3 linked regions of the Macaca fascicularis genome follow. The protein of the gene in region 2 interacts with the protein of the main gene of each other region in a pairwise test. Links are inferred from orthologs where the notes say so. Each region holds a gene or a part of one and is shown on either strand. Other genes may lie near its edges.

Evidence for each region.
Region 1: the proteins of LGALS8 (region 2) and APEH interact in binary tests that used the Homo sapiens proteins (3 or more experiments, as listed by UniProt). The two-hybrid records come from large-scale screens. The link is inferred for Macaca fascicularis from reciprocal best matches to the Homo sapiens genes LGALS8 and APEH.
Region 3: the proteins of LGALS8 (region 2) and TAX1BP1 interact in binary tests that used the Homo sapiens proteins (3 or more experiments, as listed by UniProt). The link is inferred for Macaca fascicularis from reciprocal best matches to the Homo sapiens genes LGALS8 and TAX1BP1.

What each region holds. Positions count from the first base shown.
Region 1 is NC_088376.1:112,691,187-112,695,617, forward strand, and holds the start of APEH (acylamino-acid-releasing enzyme), read left to right. Parts: upstream 1-1,563; 5' UTR 1,564-1,596; coding exon 1,597-1,608; intron 1,609-1,683; coding exon 1,684-1,816; intron 1,817-2,367; coding exon 2,368-2,494; intron 2,495-2,867; coding exon 2,868-2,961; intron 2,962-3,064; coding exon 3,065-3,140; intron 3,141-3,230; coding exon 3,231-3,394; intron 3,395-3,552; coding exon 3,553-3,690; intron 3,691-3,783; coding exon 3,784-3,875; intron 3,876-3,951; coding exon 3,952-3,992; intron 3,993-4,077; coding exon 4,078-4,199; intron 4,200-4,431. UniProt on the Homo sapiens protein: This enzyme catalyzes the hydrolysis of the N-terminal peptide bond of an N-acetylated peptide to generate an N-acetylated amino acid and a peptide with a free N-terminus. It preferentially cleaves off Ac-Ala, Ac-Met and Ac-Ser.
Region 2 is NC_088375.1:12,615,809-12,619,977, reverse strand, and holds the start of LGALS8 (galectin-8), read left to right. Parts: upstream 1-1,237; 5' UTR 1,238-1,311; intron 1,312-3,192; 5' UTR 3,193-3,291; coding exon 3,292-3,336; intron 3,337-4,169.
Region 3 is NC_088377.1:102,440,442-102,442,988, forward strand, and holds the end of TAX1BP1 (tax1-binding protein 1), read right to left. Parts: intron 2,292-2,547; coding exon 2,209-2,291; intron 1,612-2,208; coding exon 1,410-1,611; 3' UTR 563-1,409; downstream 1-562.

The sequences.
Region 1 (4,431 bases), on a different chromosome or scaffold from region 2:
TTTTTTTTTTTTTTTTTTTTTTTTTGAGACAGAGTCTCACTCTGTCACCCAGGCTGGAGTGCAGTGGCACGATTCTCGGCTCACTGCAAGCTCCGCCTCCTAGGTTCCCGCCATTCTCCTGCCTCAGCCTCCCGAGTAGCTGGGACTACAGGCGCCTGCCACCACACCCAGCTAATTTTTTGTATTTTTAGTAGAGACGGGGTTTCACCATGTTAGCCAGGATGATTTCGATCTCCTGACCTCGTGATCCGCCCGCCTTGGCCTCCCAAAGTGCTGGGATTACAGGCGTGAGCCAGCGCGCCCGGCCGGCCAGGACTCTTTTTTTTAACTTAACTAGTAATCTTGAGTAAGTAATGATGCGGCTGATGGGAAAGGGGAAGCTGCAGGCCAGACAGGTGGACTCTCAATCACAAGCACACCATGGAGCAGGGAGCCAGGGCCCTGATGTGGAAGACCAGCCAGACTCAGGTATATGGAGGGGACATCCTTACTGTCCAGCCTCTCCTGATCTCTGCTGGCACCTTAGCCCAGCCAATCCTGTGCCACGTGCACAGGAAGCCTGCCTGCCTAGGTTCTTTCCACAGGAAGCTCCCTGGACCTTGGTGGAGTCTGAGCCCACCAGGGTCCCCACACCCAAGAGCTCAGGTTGAGGCCTGGGGAGGAGGGGAAGGAACCCACCGGCTCACAGTCCCCAACAAGGAGCCACTGAGAAGGGTGGGTAAAGGCTGCGGGGATAGATAGCTCTTGCGGCAGGCCTGGTGACTGATAAGCCCAGGCAGCACCCTGAGAGTTGGCACTCGCCCCTCTGCCCCGCACCCCAGGGCTTTGCTTTGCGCCCTCCGCCCGGACTCTGGCCTTTCTCTTCTTCGTCTGCCTGGGAGTCCCTCCAGGGCAGGGCCTGGCACTGTCTAGTGAATGTCGGCTGGTAGTGGACCCGAAGGAACCCTACAGTCAGCCCCAGAGCCGCGGGAGATCCACGATGCGGCCGGCTCCCCCCTCCCCGCCCTCACCCTCACGGGCTCCCGGCTCCTCATTCCTCGCGGGGCTGCACTCTGGACCCGCCCGCCTCGCCCTTCATCCTCAGAGACTCATTGGTCCCATTCCCCTCGGGCCTCGCCCTTCAGGTGCTCGGGCCATGCCCGTCCGACCGCGCTGCTTCCGCCTCGCAGTCCTGTCTCACCCGCTTCTCTCGTAGGCCCTTCTACCCCCCCCGAAGCCCGGCTCCCGGGTTCCGCTTCCACAGGGCCGCCCTCTCTCCTCCGAGATCCAACGCCTCGCCCCTCGGTAAGAGGCCCGGGACTTGGCCCACGGCCCCGCCCCCAACTTGACTAGTCCGCCCCTGGAAGGCCAGCTCCTCCTCTCGACGCCCCTGCTCTCTCCACCCGGGACTTCTCGCTGCCAGGCCGGGTCCTCTCACCGTCAAGGCCCGCCCCTTGCCAACGGTTCTCGCTTATTCGCCGAAAGCCCCCCCTCCCAGATTGCCGCAGGGCAGGGGCGGAGACAGCCCGGGCGGTCCCAGGCTCCGCCCCCGGAAGCCTCACTTCCGGGCGCGAGCACCCCCCCGCCCCGCCGCGCCCAGGCGGCAGAGAGGAGACTATGGAACGTCAGGTGAGGGCTCGGCCCGCGGTCCCCGTGGTCCCTGCAGCCCGGACCGGGCCTGACCCTGGTGTGTCCCCTGCGCAGGTGCTGCTGAGCGAGCCCGAGGAGGCGGCGGCTCTGTATCGGGGCCTTAGCCGCCAGCCCGCGCTGAGCGCCGCCTGCCTGGGCCCGGAGGTCACCACACAGTACGGCGGCCAGTACCGGACGGTGCACACTGGTGTGTGTGCGAAGGGGAACTGGCTGGCGACGGGGTCGCGCACTGGGGTGGGAAGGAAGCGGGTGTGGAGGGCTCGCTGCTTGACAGTGTGTAAGGGTGTATGGGGAGCCGGCCTGTACTTGGAGGATACACTCCCACAGGTCCCTGCACACAGGTGTGTGGGGAGGCGGGGGCGTGCGGGGCGTTATCGGATGGTGCCCATGAGTGCACGAGATGATGGTGTAGGGGTAGAATTCAAACCTGGGCTCAGGGCGTGGACTTTGTAGGGTGCTCCGCCAACACTCCATCCCATACACATGCCAGGCTGCCCTCAAGATTCCAGGGTGGGTGCTGTTACTAGGGGGTTCTCTCAAAGAGGCTGTCAGCTCAGGCTCTGGAGGCCTGGACTAGGGTTGTGGACAAGTGTTGTCCAGCCCGCAGCCAGGGTGTCAGTGTCTGGAGACAGATTGAGAGACTGAGGAAGATCTAGGCCTTCCTGGGTCAGGTGGGCTGGGGGGCAGTAGCCAGGAGTAGCCAAGACAAGGTGAGCAGCCTCATGCCTCTCCTCACAGAGTGGACCCAGAGGGACCTGGAACGCATGGAGAACATTCGATTCTGCCGCCAATACCTGGTGTTCCATGACGGGGACTCAGTGGTGTTTGCCGGACCTGCAGGCAACAGTGTGGAGACCCGGGGGGAGTAAGTTTGAGGAAGGAATCTTGTGAGCAAGGCCACAGCGTCTGCAATGCAAGTCTTTTGTGAATGCCCACCATGTGCCTAGAAGGGAGGCCAGGAGCCAGATTCTTGCCCCCTTGGGAGCTCATTCAGTTTCTGGTGACATGGCCTGATAAGCAACGGAGGCTTGCTCCAAACTCACCTGGACTAGAGCCTGTGGTGGCCTGGGGGAGCTGGGGAGAGTAGAGTCTCTGCCTCAGGGAGGAAAGGCAAGGTGCTCCAGAAGCTGGTGTGGGGCCAGAGCCTCAAGAATCTCTCCTAAGAGGTGGTGCCCAGTAAGGGAGCAGGAAGGGGTTATTGCAAGATACTCCTGACCTGTGCTACCCCATGTCCACAGACTGCTGAGCAGAGAGTCTCCTTCAGGCAGCATGAAAGCTGTGCTGCGCAAGGCTGGAGGCACGGGCCCTGGGGAAGAGAAGCAGTTCCTGGAGGTGAGTCTACATGGGACCAGGTAGTGGGTGACTAGAGAGAGGCTCTGCCCCACAGATAAGGCTCTGTTAGCGGGCAAACAGCCTAATGCCCAGATGTCCTCAGGTCTGGGAGAAGAACCGGAAGCTCAAGAGTTTCAACCTATCAGTGCTGGAGAAACATGGGCCTGTTTATGAGGATGGTGAGGCATCTGGCTGGTGAGCAGGCAGGGTGGACAGGAGGGGTAGCCGTAGCCCTGGGCCCCCCCCTGATTGGCCCTCCCTGCACCCAGACTGTTTTGGCTGCCTGTCCTGGTCGCACTCGGAGACACACTTGTTGTATGTGGCAGAGAGGAAGCGCCCCAAGGCCGAGTCCTTCTTTCAGACCAAAGCCTTGGACGTCAGTGCCAGCGATGATGAGATAGCCAGGCTGAAGAAGCCAGACCAACCCATCAAGGTGCTCGTGGTCAATCCACGAAGGCCCAGCAGGGCAGCCCTGGGGCTCAGTGTGCTCCCTTCCCATACTGTGCTTGTCAGACCTGGGGAGGCACTAGCTTCTAGGAAGCAGAGCAGGTCCTATAGACAGGCTGGGCATTGAGTATCTTGTGTTCTCAGGGGGATCAGTTTGTGTTTTACGAAGACTGGGGAGAAAACATGGTTTCCAAAAGCATCCCTGTGCTCTGCGTGCTGGATGTCGAGAGTGGCAACATCTCTGTGCTTGAGGGGGTCCCTGAGAATGTGTCCCCTGGACAGGTCAGCAGCAACAGCCTATGTCCCTCCTGGAGTCTGGGGCCCTTCTTCAGCTACCATCCCTTGCTCACTTCTGCCCTGTGATCTTGTTTGCAGGCATTCTGGGCCCCTGGAGATGCTGGTGTGGTGTTTGTGGGCTGGTGGCATGAGCCCTTCCGGTTGGGCATCCGCTTTTGCACCAATCGCAGGTGAGGGAGTGGGGCAAGGCAAGGGACCTTGCAGCCCAGCTGGCCTTGAGACTGAATGTCTGTCTCGCGGTTCCAGGTCAGCCCTGTACTATGTGGACCTCATCGGGGGGAAGTGTGGTAAGTGGCTGATGCCCACCTGTGCTTTGCTGACACATGTTGGCCCTGCCAGCCTGCGTGATGCTCTTGTTTCCATCTGGCCCAGAGCTCCTCTCAGATGATTCCCTGGCTGTCTCTTCTCCCCGGCTGAGCCCAGACCAATGTCGCATTGTCTACCTGCAGTACCCATCTCTGATCCCCCATCATCAGTGCAGCCAGCTGTGCCTGGTGAGCTGGAGGTGGCGGGGATGGGAGGATGGTCAGCAAGAAGATGGGATGGTGGATGAGAGCTGAAGGGCCAGCATCATCTCCCCATGGGCCCTCAGTAGGTGCCCTTCTGTCCTCAGTGCAGCAGCAGTGTGAGTTCTGCCTGTCCTCTCAAGGCAGGGCCTAGAGGTTGAGAGTGCTGCCATGGAGAGCTTTGCACTGTTGGGGCACGCCACCTTGAGAGAATGCTGAT
Region 2 (4,169 bases):
ACTATAAATCCAAGGCAGTGTATGTCAAGGGTAAATTCACTTATTCAAATTGGATCTTGAGAAGTGTATCTAACTTGGAAAATGGGTAAGGAGGAGAGAAAAGCAACAGTGAATCAGAACATGAGTTCCCAGTTATGGGACTTGTAATGAATTCCTCGATTAAAATAAAAAATAATGAAAACAAAAGCCAAGGAGGAGAAAGCCCATGTTGGTGACACTAAAATATATCTTTCCAAACAAATGTGGATAAAAGTTAAGTAGAGAAGATGAGAACTTTGAGGTCCCTAACACAAAACAAACAATAAGCAGCAAGCCATTCCAAGTGGCTGACATGACTTTGTTTCAAACTTTATTTATATTTCTGGCTGGTGTGTTTACAGCCAATAGGTCAAACTATCAGTGTAGAGCCCTGAGAAGTTGGGTATTTACGGAGCATCTAATACGCACAGAATTGTGCTCCATACTGCTTAAACTGTTCCCTAAGTGTCCAATTTGGAGAAAACACCCACGCGCAGGGTAACTAGCGAGTGACGCGGAGTGGCTACGAGTCCATGTTATCGCTAACGGATGGGGCGCTTTGAGCTGGGCACAGTCCAAGGTACTGAACCCTTCCCCCAGTTTCGCCTACATCCAGAGGTGTGCACCTTCAAAAAGCAGTGCCTTCAGGTCTCTTCTGGCACTGTCTGGACTCCGTTCCGAGGCAGACGAGGAAGCTGAGAAAACCCTGGCATTGACCCCGTGGACCTGGGCGCCCCGGGAAGGCCAGCGCTGGGTCCAGGCAGGCGGGGCCTGTGCGGTGATCACCCCGGGTCCCGGAAAGTCCCAGCCCTGAGCGCCCTCCTAGACCTGGAGGCCTGGAACAGCCAAGTGGACGTCGGCCCACTTGCTGCGGAAGAGAAAGCCTTTCTCTTCTTTCCTTCCCATTTTCCTACCACCTTCCACCCACTCCGCCTTCGGGGCAAAGGCAGCCAGATCCACCCAGGACACATTCTTTGTCCTTATCTTCTGTGCTCTCCCACAGCAAGCCAGTCGCGGTCCAAGGCCCCAGAGGCTGTGCAGGAGGCCGAGCTGGGTGGCGATCAGTGGCGGGTCCCTGTCCAAAATCCAGCAGAGCCGCCAGGGACGCTCCATACACAGACGGGGCGGCGCGGGTAGGGTGGGGAGACCACAGCGGGAGAGCCAGGAAGTGAAGGAGGACTGACTCCTGTCGCTTCCCGTAGCCGCCCACGGACGCCCCAGCCGGGAACCGGACGGCACCTAGCGGCTGACGGACAACTTGCTCCGTGGAGCGCCTGAAACACCAGTCCTTGGGTGAGTAGCGCGACCCCCGGCCACTGGGACAGTCGCTAGGGGGGTGGCTGCTCTGAGGGCCTCGCCAGTGGAGGATGGCATTCGGATGTCACGGCTCCTAAATCACAATTTGATGGGTGGGACAGTGTCCATTCCACCCCAACCCGCAGGTCCTCACCGCGGCAGAGCCGGGGCTGGGTGGCGGGGACGCTGCCTCTGCAGGCGAGGCTGCTCCGGGGCGTAAGGGGTTATCAGGAGTCGCGGCCTTTCTTGTACATCCCTGGCTGGAGTCAGGCTGTTTGTCCTGGGGTGTCTCCTCGCTGCAAATCCACCGCACCTGTGCTGCTTTCTACCCTGTTCCCTCCTAACCTGAGGCCTAGAGCCACCTTCAAGTGGAGGAATCTGGGGAAGCTTCCGTCCCGGAATTTGTAGTGACATTGCTTTCCCTGCCTCTAACACGCGCTTTAGGATGCCGAGTCATTTGACTGCAGTATTAAACATTACAAAGGGCAAGTCATGTGACTTCCTTTGACCGTACGTGAAACTTAAGTGATGGCTTCTTGTGATGCATACGAAGTGGTCATGCTGGCGGGACCTGTCCCTGGGGATACTTCAGGGGTTGCGTGATTTAATGCAAGCCGATGATTTAAATTGGGTCACTCGCTGGTTATCACACATGTGTATGGCAACTCGGCATCCATTCTTTTTGCTCTTGTTCTTGCTTCCTGTATTGAGTCACGGAGCCAGAGTTTTGAGGTTTTGACTAACGAATTAAGTTAATGACATAGACTGGGGTTATATTTAGGTGGTAAACCAAGAGGGGTACAGTTTTTTTCTTAATAAAGAAAAAGTAATAGATTTGATCGGTGTGTATTGTTGGTGTGCGGTATAATGACAATTGCTGGAAGTAAAATACAGGAAGCTCTAGTTTCGTTTCCCCTTTAGTTCTGCTTAAAGTCATCGAGTTTTTCCTAGAGTTATTAAATGTAGTGTCCATGGGTGCTTTTATCTTAAAAAATGTGGCTAATGCTTTCCAACACTCCCCTGCCCTGTGATTTTTTTTTTTTAAAGCAGCAGAGAAAATTGTATCTTAATAGTATTAAAATTATTGGATTTCCACACCTTGATTTGTTTAAATTGGAGGAAGAAGAGCAATTCTTTTTATTCACAATAATAATAGCTAACATAGCACTTACTCTTTCACTATTTTATTAACTCAATCCTCAGAACAAACCAATGATGTGAATACTGTAATTATTGTCCTTTTATGGAAATGAAAAGTGAAATGAATACCTCTGATAATTGTACAGGACTGTTTGATTAGTAATGGCCATTAATTAATTAGTTTGTTTTTTTGAGATGGAGCCTCGTTCTGTTGCCCAGGCTGGAGTGCAGTGGCACGATCTTGACTCACTTCAACCTCCACCTCCCAGGTTTAAGCAATTCTCCTGTCTCAGCCTCCTGAGTAGCTGGGACTGCAGGTGCATGCCACCACATCTGGCTAATTTTTGTATTTTTAGTAGAGATGGGATTTCACCATATTGTTCAGGCTGGTCTCGAACTCCTGACCTCAGGTGATCCACCCGCCTTGGCCTCCCAAAGTGCTGGGATTACAGGCGTGAGCCACCATGCCTGGCCTATTTTAGTATTTTTAATAATAAATTCCATGTTAGAAATTTTCTACTGATGTATTTTCTAAGTCAGTATTTCCTACACTCACAATCCAAAATTGTTTAGTATATGAGCACACTGGTAAGAATGGGAGGCAGATCTTTGATTGTAATAACATTCTATTATTTGGTAAATATCAGTAACATAATGTATAATTTAAATTTTAAAATAGGATATGAAGAAAAATGCTGCATGCTTACTTTTCTTTTCCTCTGTTTTTACTTTACACAGGGCCAGTGCCTCAGTTTCAATCCAGGTAACCTTTAAATGAAACTGGCCTAAAATCTCAGGTCATACACAGAAGAGACTCCAACAAGAAGCTGGAAAAGGATGATGTTGTCATTAAACAACCTACAGAATATCATCTATAACCCGGTAACTGAGTTCTAGAAAATAACGTTTTACCTATGCCAGGATTGAGAGCAGATCCAATACAATATTAATTATCCATTGGGAGACAGGGCAAAAATAAAAGCCAGCGAACATATTTAAAGCACCTACTATGTAATAGGGATGGTGGTGGGCGCTGACTACAAAACAGCTGTCGTCCTCTAGTGGAGGAAGAAGTCACGATGGCAATATGACGTGATGAAACAGTGTTATAAACAGGGAACGTCTGGGTAGAGTGGAGGGAATGCCAACTTTTGGTAATGGGAGGAGGCTCAGCTAATCATAAATTTTAGTTTTTAAAGGCAAATGGATTTCTTACTCTACAAGTTTTTCATTTTCTTTTTTAATTAGAGCTGTCCATGAGAAGTTAGTGTCTCGATCTTTCCCTCAGCCTTTCAAATACTGCTTGGCACTTGAGCAGGGAAAATGTCAAAAGCCAGTGGGGAGACGGAGAGTGAGAAGTAGTAAAGGGTCTCGTGCAGTTCAGGCTGGTCCTAGAACCCCTGAATGACTGTAATTGCTGGAAATTGCCCTGTAATCCTAAGCAGTAAAGAGCTTGTTTTAGTTTTATGTGGTGGTGAGAATCTTTAGGAATGTCTAGTTTCCACTTATTTGAAGCTGAATCCTGAATTGAGGTCTGGGAAAGGACAGCCACTTTTTTAGTAAACCCCCTAGAAGATTCTTGGGCAAAAGGAAGGGCGAGAATCCTTGAAATAAGGCCCTAAACCAGTTTTGTTAGTGTGTGTGGGTTCAAGTTTTTGTCATTTACTTTATAGCTGTAATTCCTTTTTCCCTAAGTTTTAATGTCATTGTGTAAG
Region 3 (2,547 bases), on a different chromosome or scaffold from region 2:
ATTTTACCTAAGTATATTCTGCTCGTCATATAACCTGTCAGGAAGCTGAAACTTGGAGTCTCCAAAGCTGTTGCTTCCTAGGACTGCTGTGTCCTAACAGCTGGCATACGAATGCCTAATACTGGTTTGCCCTAGACTCAAACTTTTTAAAGGATTCTAACAATATACAAACTCTGCTTCCACAAACAAATACAAGTGACATATGCTGCAGTTCACATATAGCAACCCAAAATGCCCCCAAGTCTAAATATTACATTAACATCTTCAATAGCTTAGTTTGCTCAGAACAAATGTAAACTATTTTGATAACTACAAAAGCAGCAAAATCAAAAGCTGGTACTTTAAATTATTCACATGCACATTATAAAAGGGAAAGGGAATACAGTTCAGAAGAATTTTAAAGGCCCAAACCAAAAAAAAGATGTTCAAGATGCTAGATTAATGAAAAACTCACAAATAAATGTGACAACAATGAAATTATAGATCTTGGAAAATGTGTCCTCGTTCTTTAATGTTAGTGAGAGTTCTATACAGCAGAGACATAACTGAAGAAACACATTACTTTGATTTGGGTTTATGCATTGTACTTTTAATCACTTACTGAGAATATTTCAAATTTATATTCTCATCAGGAAAATGTAAAAAAGATACTGATATATATTCTGTGATTTTATGCCACAAACACCCCTGTTATGAGATCATTTAATAGGAAAACAATATTGACATCTCTTGTTCCATTTTCCCATTAGATATATACATACAACTTTAAGATAGTTTAAAAATAATCATTCAGGTTATTCTAAAATTTTGTCATAAAATTAGCAAAATATGCCTTCTGTTAATTGCTAAAACCAACATTTCACATATAAAAAGCATGTGATCTCATTCTACATGCAGCTCTATTTCTGGAAATTAAAAACCTATCATTTCATGGGCTAAATTATAGAACTCTCTGTATTTGAAGAACTACTTCACAAGACTGTTATGATAAATGCTTTTTATTACATAATATTTAGTAGTCATGCTCAATCAACAAGGTCAACAGAAACTTGTGAATATTCTGCTAAATAATGTAGCACACTAATACATACACATTTTTCAGTGCAGTAACACTGAAATAATCCTTGTATCCTTTATTCAGACAATTCTGCAAACTAGGGAATAAATAAAGATAACACACAAGAACTTTGTTTTAAAGCAAGTAAGATTAACAGATTAAAATTTATTGATAAACGAAAGACTGACCCTGATCCTAGTAACACCGAACTCAAAGTAGCTCCTGGTCAGAAAGTGCAATAGAGGGTGCATGAAGGAATCGCTCTATGGTCTCCTCAGTGGTCTATTTTAGGTGATTTTTTTTGTTTGTTTGTTTTTACCGCTAAACTGTCTTAACTCATAATAAAAAGTAACTAGTCAAAATTTAGAACATTCTGATCAAAATGGGTCTGCACATGCCTTTCAAACACCTGCTGGTCATAGTCAGGAGGGAACTGCTCGCTGCACATCGGGCACACCTTCCAGTGACTTTCAACATGTTCTTCAAATTTGCTCTGATCGTAGTTGGGAGGAAACATTAACTCACAGAGGGGACACTTCTTGTGAACATCAAAGCTTAAAGAGAAAAATGAAAAAATTACATATTTCTAATAAATGTAGAACAACAGTAACTTGTCCGTATATGACAAGGTTCCATTTATCTAGTTAGCTGATATTCATACTAAACAACCTACAAGTCTTTACTCCAGAAACCTTTCTCTGCTTCTAAATGCTTGCTGTAGACAATTGTGTAACCCATTTATAGAGCCTCTAAATTTAGTTTTACAATTAGATTAACAAAACTTTTCCCCTTAAAACCTTCCAAATCCAATCACAATTATGTGAAATTATTAGTACCAAGAATTCTTCCACGTTTAACAGAAAATGCCTTTTGTAAGACTGTAAGGATAAATACAACTCATAACTTCCCACCAGTGCATTTGGTTTAATAGCTAAGTTTTTATGGCACTGGTTCTCAAATGATTGCATGCATCAGAATCAGTCAGAGGACACGTTAAAACACAGATTGCTGGGCCTATGCCCAGTGTTGGTGTTTCTGGTTCAGCTAGGCCAGGCCCTACATATGTGCATTTCTAATGAGTTCCCAAGGACCACCTTTGAGAACCACTGGCCTAAATTAACCCAAATTATACAAAGGAAAGAAAAATCTACCTGGAATCAAAGCAAAAGCCTGTCCCATGCCCACGTAAGTGTTGACTTGGAGGATCAGGAGCAGTAGGCACATTCTCATCTTCCTAGGGGAAAAATAATTTTGGAACTTTTAAGGAAAGTAAAACCAAATATAAATTCCTTAATTCAATCAAGCACATACTGACTGTATAAAAGAAGATTACACTTCAGGAAATTTTCTCTCTGTTATCATTTAATTAGACTTTCAAATAAACATGTTTGAAACTCTGCAGAGTATTTCACTATGGACTAACAGTGTGGTGTTCTTGAAATAAAAAGCAGTATTCAGAGGAATAGAGACATACCATTTACCATACCTGT